Linked DNA regions of Caenorhabditis elegans. The protein of the gene in region 1 purifies or fractionates together with the protein of each later gene. This does not show direct contact. Each region holds a gene or a part of one and is shown in the gene's direction. Other genes may lie near its edges.

Region 1 (6,947 bases):
GTAGGTCCAACAAGATGAACATATTTTGATGGTGGAACTGAAAAGGGAATAGATAAACTAGGAATCTACGATATCGATAAACTAACGTGGCCACCAAACAACTTTGAATGCAAGCGTAGCAAATCCTTTGTTTGTAACAGCAATGGTGAACTTTGAGGCTGGGAAGTAATAGGGTTCCATGTTTTCTTGGGTTGTTCTGGAAACATTTGATATTATGAATATTCAAACTTCGCAAACTTCAAACTTGTTGTTTAAAGCGATTGCTGGCAAACTTGTAGACGTTTGCGCTTATTCAGCGCAATTCTTTATCAATCAATAAAACGCCAGAACAAATGAACCATGAGTACTGCAATGCCGCAGCGTTGTAGCACCACATTGTAGAAAACTGATGGCGGAAAAAACCGCGTCCGGGCCTTGTACGTGGTGCCCCAACCCTTCAAGGATCAATCGATCTGAGGCTACAGTATGAACCCTCAGATGTGCTTGGCGCCTAACAAGTCTAAGCGTAGATTCTATGAGAATTCCACCTTGAAATTTGTAAAATAACTCACTGAATACGATTTCCTGCAGAGTCGACAGTTTGAATGACTGAATCGTTTCCTGTCGTCTTTCCACTGATTATCAGTTTTGCATAATATCCGCGTGGAATCGTTACAATCCAACTACACGACTGACCCTTCTCCAGCTGAGGAGCGGGCTGGGTTTCGTTCCAAGAAGCCGGCCAAAACACAGGCGTGCCATTGATTACAGGCTTGTTGATTGCCTTACCAACTTTGCAGACTGTAATTTTTACGTTAAAATATGAATCCCTAAAACCGATCTTACCATTTCCGGCGGCTGAAACAGCAGCAACCACGGCTAAGCAAGTCAATAGTCGTTTGAACATTTCGAATTGAAATCTGAAATTTTCATGTTCTGAGACAGTTTATATACCGCATTTTGGGAGCCAATGAAACATACGAAAAAGGGCGTTTTTTTTTCATAAAACAGTTATCAATTGTTTTTGCAAAGATAATTTAGTGCTCAAACTGATAAGGGATCTTTTTTATGTGTGGCGTCATTTGAAATCAAGTAACTCCATGTATACCAAAGTCTAGATCCTCTTCTGGTTAACAGATATCAGCTTCAACATGTTTCTGCGTGTGAAGAGAAATATTGTTACAAGGTGTAGCTACTCATCCACAACTAAATGTTTAATTTGATAACTAGAGTTATCTTGATTCTTTGATCGTACTCCTAGTTTCTTATCTTGCAGTTTTTGCGGAATTGTCAGCTTCCGGGGGCGGTTTCTCATACAGTTCGTAATTTTTTTTTTTTGAAACGGCAGAAACCACATTTTGTTTCTTATAGTTTTCTGTAGATCAGATGTGGAGATCGCACGGATTGGTAGCGCCATTGTACCCGGAAAAAAACGTGGACAGATTCTGCTAAAACTTCCAGATGGGGTTATCAAAAATTAGTCACCAAAATAAATTTTCAATGTGACAGTATGATTTTATAAGAATCTTTCTAGATTTTTGAACAAAAAAAACAATATGTTATGTTCTTGGCTCAAGTAGAAAACATGAGTTTCGAATTTCTTGTTTTAAAGTTATACTGGCACCTAGGACTGTTATACAGACACCAAAATGCCTGCTTGCCTTCCTGACTGCCTGACTTTTAGGTGACCCCACCTGCCTCTTCCTATTTTCAAATATACACGTGGAAAACTTGTGAAGTGGGATCCGGGCAGGCGAAACCGCGCCTGCCTCCCATGAATCACACAACACATCATCACATCACACTCGTTCAAAAGTCATTTAGCTTTTGATAAACCGTGCACATTTCCGGTCCGACTTATGTGCTTCAAACTGTTTGCGACCAGCACGACTGTAGTACTGCAACTTTGACCATCAAACCATTTACATACGAACTGTTGAGGAAACCGCCCCGGAAGCTGACAATTCCCAAAAAACTGCAAGATAAGTAACCATGCGAGGTATCAAAAAATCCAACAAAAAAAACACACAGAGAAGCTCCTAGCATAAACATCTAATTGTAGCTGAGCGCCACCTGCACTACGCCACAAATCTCGCTTCATTCAAAATCTGAAATCTGATAATGAAGTCGATCTAGATCTGAATTTCGTCTCGGCATTTCGTCCCAACTTTTACACCAACTTTAGCAACTTAAGCGCCAACTTTAGCGTTTTGCAACTTATCCACCAACTTTAGCAACTTTTTAACCAAGTTTAGCCAATTTTAGAAAAATTTTCAGTGCAAATTTTGAGGGCATCCCCAACTTTAGCCTATTTGCCCAACTTTAGCAACTTGTTTACCAAATTTTAGCAACTTTTGCACTTGGCATTTCTAAAGTATCTAAAGTTGGTAAATAAGTTGCGGCAATTTGCCGAGGTGCTACAAAACGTCATCCCACCTACTAATCCCTTATCAGTTTGTGTTCCTTATTCTCTTATCAACAACAATTGATAACCGTTTTCATGATCCAACGCCCTTTTCGTATCTTCCAAAATTGGTATATAATCAGTCTCAGAATATGCAAAATTTCAAGTTTCAAGATTTCACTCTGAAATGTTTCAAAAACTATTGGCTTTCTTGACTGTGGTTGTTTTTGTTTCGGCGGCTGGAAACAGTAAGACTGAATTCAAATTTTGAAATTTGAAATGTTTTAAATTTCAGGCTGCAAAATCGGTAAGGTAATCAACAAGCCCGTTATTGATGGTACCCCTGTTTATTGGCCAGCTTCATGGAACGAAACCCAGCCTGCTCCTCAGCTGGAAAAGGAGCAATCATGCAGTTGGTATGTGACAATTCCACGTGGATACTATGCAAAACTGATAATCAGTGGAAAGACAACTGACAAGGATTCACGATTCCAAACTGTAGACTCTGCAGGAAATCTTATTCAGTGAGTTATTTTTGGATTTTAAATGGTGTTTCTATATAAAGTATGGTCCATGGAAATCTCGTAAATCAAATAATTTATAGCGTTTGGTCTGTATATTTTGAAAACTGTGATAGCTGGCATTTTGCTCGATCCTTTCCCGAAATTGTTAAGGAAATAATGAGTACTTGAAAATAGTTGATAGAATAAAATAAAATATTCAGTTTGCTATTTGTAAGGCTTCAGCTTATAAAAAATAAGCATGAAACAATTTTTTGATATGTTTATTTAAATTTTTTACATAATTTGTTGCATATGCAACAAATATCAAAGTTCGAATCTGCGCACATTCGGATCATATCATTTTTTAAATTAAGCTTCTTTGAATGTTTCAAAATTTAGTTATTCATGGCATTTCATATTTACAGAACTACCCACGAAAAAATGGTACCTTATTACTTCCCGGCTTCGAAATTCACCCTTGCTGTTTCCAATGAAGGATCTGCTACGTTTGCATTCAAAGTTGTCTGGTGGCCACGTAAGTTTACCAGTATTATGCATTTCTAGCTTATATTTTCCTTATTTCAGTTCCAACAGAAAAATATGTTGATATTGTTGCATCTATTGGGCAGGTTATTAATGTCACAGAAACAGTTGTTGCTATGGAATACGCTGCACCAGGAGGAATCACTTTATTGACATTTCCAGAAGATTTGAAAAACTATAACTCATTGAGAAGCACACTTATATATGATGGAAGCAGCTTGACCTCTGCAACCTATGTTTCAAAGTGAGTTGTAAGACTTTTCATCAGTTGCTCCTTTTTCGGAGGTGCTCCAGAATCTAAGTCGAAATTTGTTTCGGGTACCCATTCCAGCTGTCCAGTTGGATATTTTTAAAGCATTTTTGTTAACTTTGTTTTTCTACCCGCCTGTGTGTTTGCAGTATTCACAGATTTCGCATGGTTTTGTTAAATCTAGTTTAGCCATGACATCATGGATGTATTATTTTCAGTCTATTCCTTCTCAACCAGTCAAAGAAGCAATGGACATCTAGTCAAGACGGTATTGTCGTAGTGAACGTCGAAGCCAGTCGTTCCATGAATAAACTTCTTATTCAAGGATCCGTGTGTGAGTCTAAACAGCAACTCAGCCGTTGAAGTGAGAGCATAACTATTTAGATTTGGCTGGAATCGATGAGATAGTGGAACTCCACCCGCAACCTAACTCGATCTATAATGGAACTGTGAACGCGGGAGCACATATGTCTTCACTTGTTGCAGTATCTGATCTCGAATTGCAAATGATCGATGTTCAGATGAAAGATGTAGAGTTTAATGAAGTTGAACTTTTTCCGTCAAACTAAATTTTGTTTTTTTTCAGGACTCCACTGTCTCAGTTTACTATGGATCTCCAGACGCATTCACTCTCGATAAAACTTACACGTATGTTATTTTTAACTACAGTCGATTCTAGAATCTTGATTATTTCAGAGGAGCAGAGCTGAAAAAAGCACTTCCACTGCCATTTGGCGGATATTTTGTGCAGTTTGTGGTCAGCAGTGGCAAGGCTGTATTCACGTTTAAAAGTTGATTTACTGTTTTTAAATAAAAATTTGAACATTTGATGCATATGTACTGTTTAGAGCTTTTGAGCTTTTGGTGCAAAGACCACCGATTTTGCAACTTGGCAACTCGTACACAATCATGTTTTAAAACATTGTGTTGAAGATTAAACCCTCTCACTAAATTCAGAGCCAGCAAACATTTTTTCGATTCTTAAAATTGCAAAATTATTTACACGTGTTTCCTCCTAGCATTATCCAACTCAGGTTTCACTCAAACGTATCCTAGAAGTTTAAAATTAAAATTTTTATTATTTGTGGTTATTCCACGTGCTATGTTTTACAAGTTTTGTTCAAGATAACTGCATATTAATATCGTTCAAAGAACTTTTTTATAGCAAAATGATTCTAAAAGTTTTAGACCAAATAATGAAAATTCCAAAAAAGATAAGGAGCATTAGACCAAGATCAAGAAATTAAACTCGAACAAATGATTTTGAAGTTTTTATTGCAACTCTGTTTAAGCACTGAGAAACTTCCTATCAATATTCTGTATGCATTGAGAAAATATTTGTTGAAAAAATACTTGAACTCTTGCGCTCCAAGAGACATTACATCAGTTTACACTCTAAACTTATGCTTTAAACTTTTGTTATCAGTGCTGAATACTTTTTTGATGACAAAACGCCCAGTTTCATACTTTTTGATTATCATCCTAAAAGCTCTATATATTTCGTTTGGGCACTTGATAAAATTTCAGACTTACGAACAAAATGTTACAGAAACTATTCATCTGTCTAGCGTTTGCTACTGCAATTTCGGCCGCTGGAAATGGTAAAACTAATTATAGAAGTTATAATTTTGAAATTGGCTAATTAATTAATTTCAGGTTGCACACTTGGAAAATCTGTCAACAAGCCTGTAATTGATGGTACGCCTGTATATTGGCCAGCTGCTTGGAACGAGACTCAGCCTGCTCCTCAGCTGGATAATGGGCAGTCTTGCAGTTGGATTGTGACAGTTCCACGTGGATATTATGCAAAACTGATAATCAGTGGAAAGACAACTGACAAAGATTCACGATTCCAGACTGTGGATGCTGCAGGAAATCTTATTCGGTGAGTTATTTTGCTAACCTGCAAATTAAATCTGAAATGTGTATTTGGAATGGTCTGTGAACTTGGGAAGTCTTGTAAAATGATCAAACAATTTTGGTTGAACTGGTTAGTGTCTGGAAAACGACTGGTTGTTTTTTTTTTCGATGCAAAAAATAGCAAATTATATAACATTATTCTAGTGTAGAGCTAATACGATTTTGTTAACAGAGAAATAAAGACAAGCTCATGAGCTTGTCCCGTTATGTGGATCATATGATGTATCCAACGTTTTTCAATTTTTCCAATTCAGGACTACTCAAGAAAACATGGAACCATATTACTTTGCTGCTCCAAAATTCACACTCACTGTCGCTAACGAAGGTTCAGCTACTTTTGCATTTAAAGTTGTTTGGTGGCCACGTGAGTTATCCCTACATTTCTATAAATTGTTATGAGCAATTTGTCAAGTATCTGTGAATTTCAGTTCCAACAGTAGATTTCGAATACAGCACAGGACCGACTGGATGGATTATAAATGCTACAAATGCAGTATATGCTCATGAATACAGTGAAGGTGGTGGCATCACTTTGATGGTTTTCCCTGAGAACGAAACGAGCTATTCTTCGTTGAGAAGCGCGTTGGTGTATGAGGGAAGAAGCTTGAGTTCAGCGAATTATGTTTCAAAGTAGGTATTTTATTCGTGAAAAAAATAAAGTTGCTCGTAAGTAAAACAAATTGAATACTTGTTTTTTTTATTTCAGTTAAATAAAAAATTCTTTTTGGCAATAAATCAAAGACGGTTCTGAAAATAGTATTATATGAAACTCGAAGAAATCAGGGTAATTTCACAACTAATTTTCAACAAATTGAATAACATCAATAAAAACAAAATGAGGTCGGAAAATTTCAAATTTGAACAAAAGTTGTTCAGAAATGCCGAGCTAATTCGAAATGTTCTTTTAAATCTTTGTACTTAAATTTTAGAGATAAAATCCAGCTTACTTTTTGATGATTATTGTCTTGAATTATTACAGTCTCAACCTTCTCTGCCAGACGAAAAAACAATGGGCTTCTACCCAAAACGCTATTTTTGTAGTGAACCTTGAAGCTAGTCTCTCCAAGGATATTCTTCTAGTTCAAGCTAACAGATGTGAGTTTGAGCGTGAATTTAACAACCACAACTGGCAATAAAATCTCAGATTTGACTGGAATCGATGAGATGGTGGAACTCCGGCCGCAATTGAACTCGATCTATAATGGAACGGTACACGGTGGGACACAGATGTCTTCTCTTGTTTCAGTAGCTAATATCAATATGCAAATGATTGATGCTCAGATGATAAATGTAGGGTTCGAAGTTTTAAGAATACCCTTAAACTTACTAATTTTTCAGGAGTCTAACT
Region 2 (7,701 bases), on another chromosome or scaffold:
AGTCATTCTATGATTTTCCTGCAAAAACCAACACAAGCGAGCGCTATAGTAGTTATTCAAAGAATTACTGTAGTTTTCGCTTTGAGATATTTTGCGCGTCTACTATTGCAATTTGAAAACCTATATTTTCTAATTTTCCACTCCATTTGATAGATTAAGGTCTGGTCTACTCAGCTGTCTGCACTGAGCTCCCCCCCCCCCCTCCCCCGAACTAATACTGAAGCTTTGAAATTTATGAAACAACATGTGGTTTTTAGTATTCTCTTGTTGTTCCTTCTTCTCCACTTTCTTTTCTGCACAAAATCTGTCGCATGTTGTACTTTTTTTTCTTTATTCAGTTCCCACAGCACCGCCACATATATTGAATCAATTCAATAATATTCATACATGATGTGGCGAAGTATATGGTTTCTGATTTTGTGATAATCTCCATTGTGATAATTTTTTGTTAATAATTTCCATTCATCTACCGTAATCCTTTTTTGTGAGTTTTGTGGTATTTGGTCTTGAAACGAAAAAAATTTTGTAGCTACCATAAGTTTTTGCATTTTTATTATATTGAGCGGAAGCTTAATTTAAAACAGAAAATTGTGAGTTCGGTAGATGCAAAGTTTCGTGGCGAGACCCGGATGAAAAATTTTCGCAACTGGGTAACACGAGAACATCAAATTTTGTATTTAAATTTTTGAAAAAAAAATATTCAAAAAAAATTCAAAAAATTAATATTGCAATTTATCAGTTTAAAGGTGCATTATGTTTTAGGTCTCGCCACGATCTAACTTTATGAATTTTAATTTGGGTTACTGTACCTTCTAAAATACGCAACAAAAACTCAATTCTACGATAATTCTTGAAAAATTTGAAAGAATAGTAAGAGTAAATATCGTAATCTCAAGACTCACGGATTTATTCAGATGGGTCTCGGTGCGCAAAATTCGCTGAAACGGAAAAATACAAGTAAAATGAACAAGGAAACTTTTTGCGCGTCGAGACCCATCTGAATAAATCCGTGTGCCTTTAATAAGTTATGACTTGTGGAAATTAATTTTAGTGTTTCAAAAAAAAGTACCGTATCCATCTTCCATTGAATTTTGTACAATAAAGCATCCAATGACTAATACGGAATTCTTTCCTTTCTGGTTCATACTTTTCTTTTCTGAAAGCGCATGTGCGGCCAGGCTGTCTCATCACGGTTTGCTCTACAAAAAATGCGGGATTTTTTCGCCCTAAAATATGTGACGTCAGCACGTTCTTAACCATACGAAATCAGTTAAAAACTCTGCGTCTCATCTCCCGCATTTTTTGTAGATCTACGTAGATCAAGCCAAAATGAGACACTCTGACACCGCGTGAAAGCGCAAATGTACCCAAATTTTTATAGCTCCCCTTCCAAAGTTTCCACTTCCCTCGTTTCTGCTAAACTGTACAATGTATTTGGTGCAGGAGACCGCTCCGCAATATACGCTCGTAAATTGCAATGTTTGCAAAAATTGACGAGAGAGCATGTCAGACATAAAAATAAGGGACGCGAGGCAAAAAAGTGACACGTTGTTTTATTTTTTTAGCATAAACGGAAAGCGGGTCGTCGAGTGAGATGGCTTTCATTTGTTTCCTTTTTTGTTTTTTTTGTGTGGTGCTACGTGGTTTCTGTGCTTTTCTGGTGTCCTGTTTGGAACTGAATACAAATTTTTTCAGAAAAAAGTTGGCCGGAATCACGAGGTGTCAAAGTGTCTCATTTCGGTTTGATCTACAAAAATGGGGGATTTTTTCCCCAAAAAATGTGACTTCAGCACGTTCTTAACCATTAGAAATTAATTGAAAAGTCTGCGTCTCTTCTCCCGCATTTTTGTAGATCGAACCAAAATAAGACACTTTAACACCACGTGCGGAATTAGAATATCTCTAGAAACATTTTGGCGGGAATTCAAATTTCTATGGAAAAATTTTTGCGGGAATTCAAATTACTATGGAAAAAATTTGGCGGGAATTCAAATTTCTTCAGAAAAATTTCGGCGGGAATTCGAATTAAAATTGTGTATGCACCTTTAAGATTACTGTATAATGTTTTTTTTTCAAATTTTCTTATAATTTACAGATTTTTATAGCTAATTTGTGACCGAGTAGAACTTACTTACTTACTTAGTAACTATAAGAAAACAATAACAATTTTTCTAAGATCAATTTAAAGGCGCTCGCACAAAGTAATTTTGGAAAGGGTCTCACCGCGCCAAATGAATTTTTCAAATAATTTTTTTTCGCGTTCTCATTTTTCCTAGAAATTCCAGAATTTTTGTAGTAAAATTGCAAACATAAGCCCTTTTCGAAATATTTTTTTTCTTCATTAATCGAAAAAATAAGATGATTTGTAGTTTAGCCTAGCCTATAGACATTTTCGTTCCCCTCTCACTACAAGTAGGTGTCTCTGACATTCTCTTCTCCAACCTATTCGTCATGCTCAATTGAGCACGTCCGGGGCTCTTCTAACCAGCAAACAACTCCCCCCAGTTATGACCACGTTTCTCTTTTGTCTTCTGGGTTCACTATCAATAGAAGTTTCCATTTGAGAAGTATGCAAAGGGCGTGGGCGTCTGTTTGAGCAAAATGGGTGTGAATGGTAAGATGGATGATAAGGGGGAAATGATGTTTTTGACGTAAAAAATTTTATAATGTGGAGTATCGAAATCTTTTTAGAACAATTTTAAAATGACTCCCTGATTCCGATATTTAAGTGAAAAAAAAAACTGTGCTTTTTTTAAGGTCACTTTTTTTGTTATATCATTAAAAAAACTAACAAAATTTGTGATTTTTAGGCGGGAAAAGCATATATTTGGATTTTTCGTCCACGGGGTTCTGGGCATTTCTCATTGAATTTTCGCGCTCCATTGATAATCGCCTGCCGGACAGCGCGTGGAAAAGTGTCGTGTACTCCTCACGGACAGCAAACTTCAGTTTTACAACTAAAACGAGCCGCGACGCGACACGCAACGCGCCGTAAATCTACACAAAATCTCTCCGACCCAAAATGGCCTAGTTCGGCAAACAGCCAGAATTCCGTGGAATTCGTCGAGTTTTGACCTAAGAAATGGAAATTTTGTTAGTTTTTTGGCAAAATAATATTTAATTGACCTTAAAAAACGAAACTTTGGAAAAAAGCGACGAAAATGAAGATATTGAAAATCTCGTAAATCGACACATCGCGATTTTAAGCTGAAATATAATATCAGGGAAATTTTTTAGAATTTTTTCACTTAGATATTCGGAATCAGGGAGTCATTTAAAACTATTTCTCTCACAAAATTTCTAGGATACACGGAAAATCGAAATCGTGACTCATTGCGAACTTGAAACATTACAGTTCTCGAGCACATTTGAACTTGACCGAAACCACCGAAAAAAGTAAATATAGTGTGAGAGAGAGAGAGTAAGAGGTATTAGAGAAGCTAAAAAAGATAGTGGTTCTGTTCTATGCTCTCTTCTTATACACCCTCTTCCCTTCCCTTCCCAACTGTTCAAATATTATCGTTAACATGCCTTGCATGCTGCTGCTCATCGTCATTGTCCACGTCAACCTAAAATTTTTAATGTGAATTTGAATTCAGTATGCCTTGGGTCCGAAAAAGTTTGCATTATAAATTTCCTTGTTTTACTCGAATTTCCAATACTACTACTACTTTTCACAATTTAATTCGTTTTTTTTCAGGCAGCAAACTTATATTATCAAAATTGAGGGATATTGAAGCATAAAACGGAGGATTTTCGGTAGGTTACGGTACCCTGGGTCTCGGCACGACAAATGTTTGAAAAAAGGTGTGCGCCTTTAAAGAGTACTGTAATTTCAAACTTGTTCATTTGCGGAATTTTTATTGATTTTTTAGTTTTTCGATGAAAATCTATTAAATTATCAAATATCTAAAGTAAATTTCAAAAAGCTGAAAAATTAATTTTAAGGCGCACACCTTCAATGAGTACAAGGATTTGTCGTGTCGAGACCTGGATCTGTATTTCTGACGCAAAAATCTGAAAAGTGTCATATTAAACAATATTAAAGAAAAAAAAAGAAAAAAACTAACTAAAAAAATCTGTTTTAACATTGAAAACTTGATCATTTTGAGGTCAAACTAGAAAATATTGATTTTTCTTCGAATTTCTATTGATTTTTTTGTTGCTATTTATTAGTTTTCCTGAAAATTATAGTTTTTCCATCATATTCCTGCCAAAAACATGTTCCACCGATTTTGTCCACGTGTAGTACGTAGTTGTCGGTTTCTAGGTCACCACCCGTGTACTACACGTGGACGATGTGTCCTTATTTGGAGTTTTTGTCGAAAAATTTAGTTTTTACTGGTTTTTACTGAGCTGAATCGAAATATTTTGAGAAATTTCCCAATTAAATTAATCAAAAATTAATTTTTTTGCAGATACGGGTCGATTTTGCCGCTGAGAAATGATTATATTCAAGAAAAAGGCGATATTAAAAGTTCTCCTCTTGGTTCCAGTTTTTTGGATTTGCTCGTTGATTTTTTTCGCAGCAACCAGCAATGATAGTAGCCAGGTATCAAAAATCAAAAATAAAAAAAATAAAAATGTGATTAAAATCCCATTTTCAGATCGGATCAAATAACGATCTCGCGAATAAAATTGCGGAGGCGAATTTCCACCCGAAAGCCGCGAAACAAGACGTAATTCAAGGATTTGGGCCGCCGATTGAGCCGGAACCTGTCGTAGAGAATAATAAAGTGGAAGAAGAAGAGCAACCCGGCGGGAACTTGGCCAAACCAAAATTTATGGTCGATCCGAACGATCCGATTTATAAAAAAGGAGACGCAGCGCAAGCCGGAGAGCTTGGAAAGGCAGTTGTCGTCGATAAAACTGTGAGAATTTGATTATTCTTGAGGAATAACGGTTCTTTGAACTTGTGGACTCAAAATGTGCTCAAATTCTCAAAATTGCGAAAAAAATGAGCCAAAAATGACTTAAATTGGCCAAAAATTACCAAAAATGATTTTAAAAATGAAAATATTCCGTATAGATTTTTAATCATTTTAGGGCAATTTCGGTCATTTTTTACTGATTTTTGGCTGATTTTCCATCATTTTAAGTAATTTTAGTTAATTTTAGGCCAAATTTGGTTATTTTTGGTCATTTTTGGTCAATTTCTGTCATTTTTGGCCGATTTTTAATCATTTTTGGTCAAATTTGGTCATTTTTCAGAAATTTTTAGTCACTTCAGCGCTCGGAAATTGCCGAAAATTGGCCAATAATGACTAAAAATGACCGAAATTTGCCGAAAATGATTAAAATGTATATAATATACCGTATTTCTTCTATTAATATGGCCTCCCTATTAGACTTGCACTCCCTATTAGTATTGCTCCTTGAAAACCCTCCGAAAATTAGTATTGCAGTTAGTGTTGCACTCCCTAATAGTCTTGCATCTACTTTTTTTTTTTGGTACAAACCCACCCTACTAATTTTGAGATTTTAACAACATTTTTTGCCTACTTTGCAACAATTTTGGTAAAATTTCTATGAAATTGAAGTTATTGTACCTTTTTGTTGCAATTACAATCAAATTTTCTGAATTTTCACATAAGATTCGAGTTTTTTCAGGAAAAAAACTAGTAAGCTCAAAGTCAGAAAATGTTCTGAAAATTAGTATTGCACTCCCTAATAGTCTTGCACTCCCTATTAGTATTGCAAGCGGAAGACCATCGAAAAATATTATTGCAGCCATATTAATAGAAGAAATACGGTACATATTTTCGGTCATTTTTAATCATTTTTGGCCGATTTTCGATTATGCTTAGTCATTAAAAAAAAGACTAAAAAATTACCAAATTTGGTCCAAAATCACCAAAAATGACTGAAATTGGACAAAAATGAATAAAAATTTCTAAAATATTTAATATTTTAAATATTTATGTCATTTTTGGTCATTTTTCGCCTATTTTGGGCCAAATTTGGTCATTTTTCAGACATTTTTAATCACTTCAGTGCTCGGAAATTTTCGAAAATTGGCCAAAAATGATTAAAAATGATGTCTAAAATATTTTAAATATCAAGTTATTTTAAATATGAAATATTTTCGACATTCCTGGCCAATTTCGGTAATTTGTAGTCATTTTCAACCGACTGCTGATTATTTTTGGTCCGTTTAGGTATTTTTAGCAAAATTTAGAAATTTTAGTAATTTTTGGCCGAATTTTCATTTTTTTTTTTGGTCACATTAGGTAATTTTTAGGTGATTTTGGGTAATTTTTAGTCATTTTTATCCAATTCGCGATCATTTTTTAGCCACTCTAGGTCATTTTAGGCCGATTTCGGCCCCCAAAATCTAAGATTCTAGTGGAAATTAGTTCTTTTTTTTTCGAAATTTTGATGTTTTGCCTTTAAAATCAACGAAAAAAAAAAACTTTATTTTCTTTCTAATTTTCAGAAACTATCGACCGAAGAAAAGGCAAAATACGACAAGGGAATGCTCAACAACGCTTTTAATCAATACGCATCTGATATGATATCAGTACATCGAACTTTGCCAACTAATATTGATGCTGAGTGGGTTTTTTTTTATTCCAAAATTCATAAAAATCGAAAAATTAATTTTTTTAAATTTCCCTAAAAAACTGAAGTTTTTTTGTGATTTTCCGGAAAAAAAGAAGAAAAATCGAATTTTTTCAAAAAATTTTCTTTTTAAAAAAATCGAAAAATCGATTTTCTTGCAATTATCTGTAAAAAACGAGAAGTCGATTAAAAAAATCCTAAAAAAGAAAAAATCAATTTTTTTTTTGTTTTTCATTTAAAAAACTGAAGTTTTTTCTGATTTTCCGAAAAAAAAAAACGAAAAAAAAAATCGAATTTTTAAAAGAATTGCCTTAAAAAAAATGAAAAATCGAAATTTTTAAAATGTTCTAAAAGAACAAAAAATCTAAATTTTTCGATTTTCCGAAAAATCGAAAATATCGACGTTTTTTCATTTTCCGAAAAAAAAACGAAAAAAAAATCGAATTTTTAAAACAATTGTTTAAAAAAAAACAAAAAATCGAAAAATTTTTTAAATTTCCCTAAAAACTGAAGTAAACGAAAAATCGATTTATTCCAAATAATTTTCCTTTAAAAAAAATCGAAAAATCGATTTTCTTGCAAATATCTGTAAAAAAACGAGAAGTCGATTTAAAAAAATCCTAAAAAAGAAAAAATCAATTTTTTTTTTGATTTTCCGGAAAAAAAACGATTTTTTTTTTGAAAATTGGCTAAAATTCCAAAAAATTTTCAAATTTTTGCTCATTTTGATCAGAAAAAATATAGGAAAACCTAGAAATTTCTTTTACAAAAATGTTGTCGATTTACGAAGTATTTTGTACTACACGTGGACTATTTTTTGCAGTTTTTGGCTGGAATTCTTATCTTTTTCTGATTCTTAAAAAACATTTTAAAGTTCAAAAAAAAACTTAAAAATTCTCGAATTTTCTGTATTTTTGAGAGAAAAACGGAAAAAAAGTAAAAAATTCTGTACAAAAAAGCATTTTTTCTGCAAAATAATTTTAGAGAAACAAAGAAAAAAAAATCAATATTTGGAAAAATTTAATTTCTTTTTTTGCAGATGTAAAACCGAAAAATACAATGAAAATCTGCCGCGAACGTCTGTAATCATCTGTTTCCACAATGAAGCATGGTCAGTGCTTCTCAGAACAGTACACTCGG

What was found.
Region 2: the proteins of mbug-1 (region 1) and gly-5 fractionate together in Caenorhabditis elegans (co-fractionation; one large-scale study listed by BioGRID). This does not show direct contact.

Annotation. Positions count from the first base shown.
Region 1 is NC_003282.8:12,971,089-12,978,035, forward strand, and holds mbug-1 (CUB-like domain-containing protein), read left to right. Parts: upstream 1-2,535; 5' UTR 2,536-2,570; coding exon 2,571-2,631; intron 2,632-2,678; coding exon 2,679-2,907; intron 2,908-3,311; coding exon 3,312-3,421; intron 3,422-3,471; coding exon 3,472-3,673; intron 3,674-3,897; coding exon 3,898-4,013; intron 4,014-4,063; coding exon 4,064-4,209; intron 4,210-4,265; coding exon 4,266-4,327; intron 4,328-4,375; coding exon 4,376-4,475; 3' UTR 4,476-4,515; downstream 4,516-6,947. Other genes in the region: dod-17 (CUB-like domain-containing protein), read left to right, coding at 5,220-5,280, 5,336-5,564, 5,854-5,963, 6,028-6,229, 6,579-6,694, 6,744-6,889, 6,938-6,947.
Region 2 is NC_003281.10:13,183,692-13,191,392, forward strand, and holds the start of gly-5 (Polypeptide N-acetylgalactosaminyltransferase 5), read left to right. Parts: upstream 1-3,700; 5' UTR 3,701-3,759; intron 3,760-4,418; 5' UTR 4,419-4,444; coding exon 4,445-4,552; intron 4,553-4,607; coding exon 4,608-4,871; intron 4,872-6,436; coding exon 6,437-6,555; intron 6,556-7,600; coding exon 7,601-7,701. UniProt on the Caenorhabditis elegans protein: Catalyzes the initial reaction in O-linked oligosaccharide biosynthesis, the transfer of an N-acetyl-D-galactosamine residue to a serine or threonine residue on the protein receptor.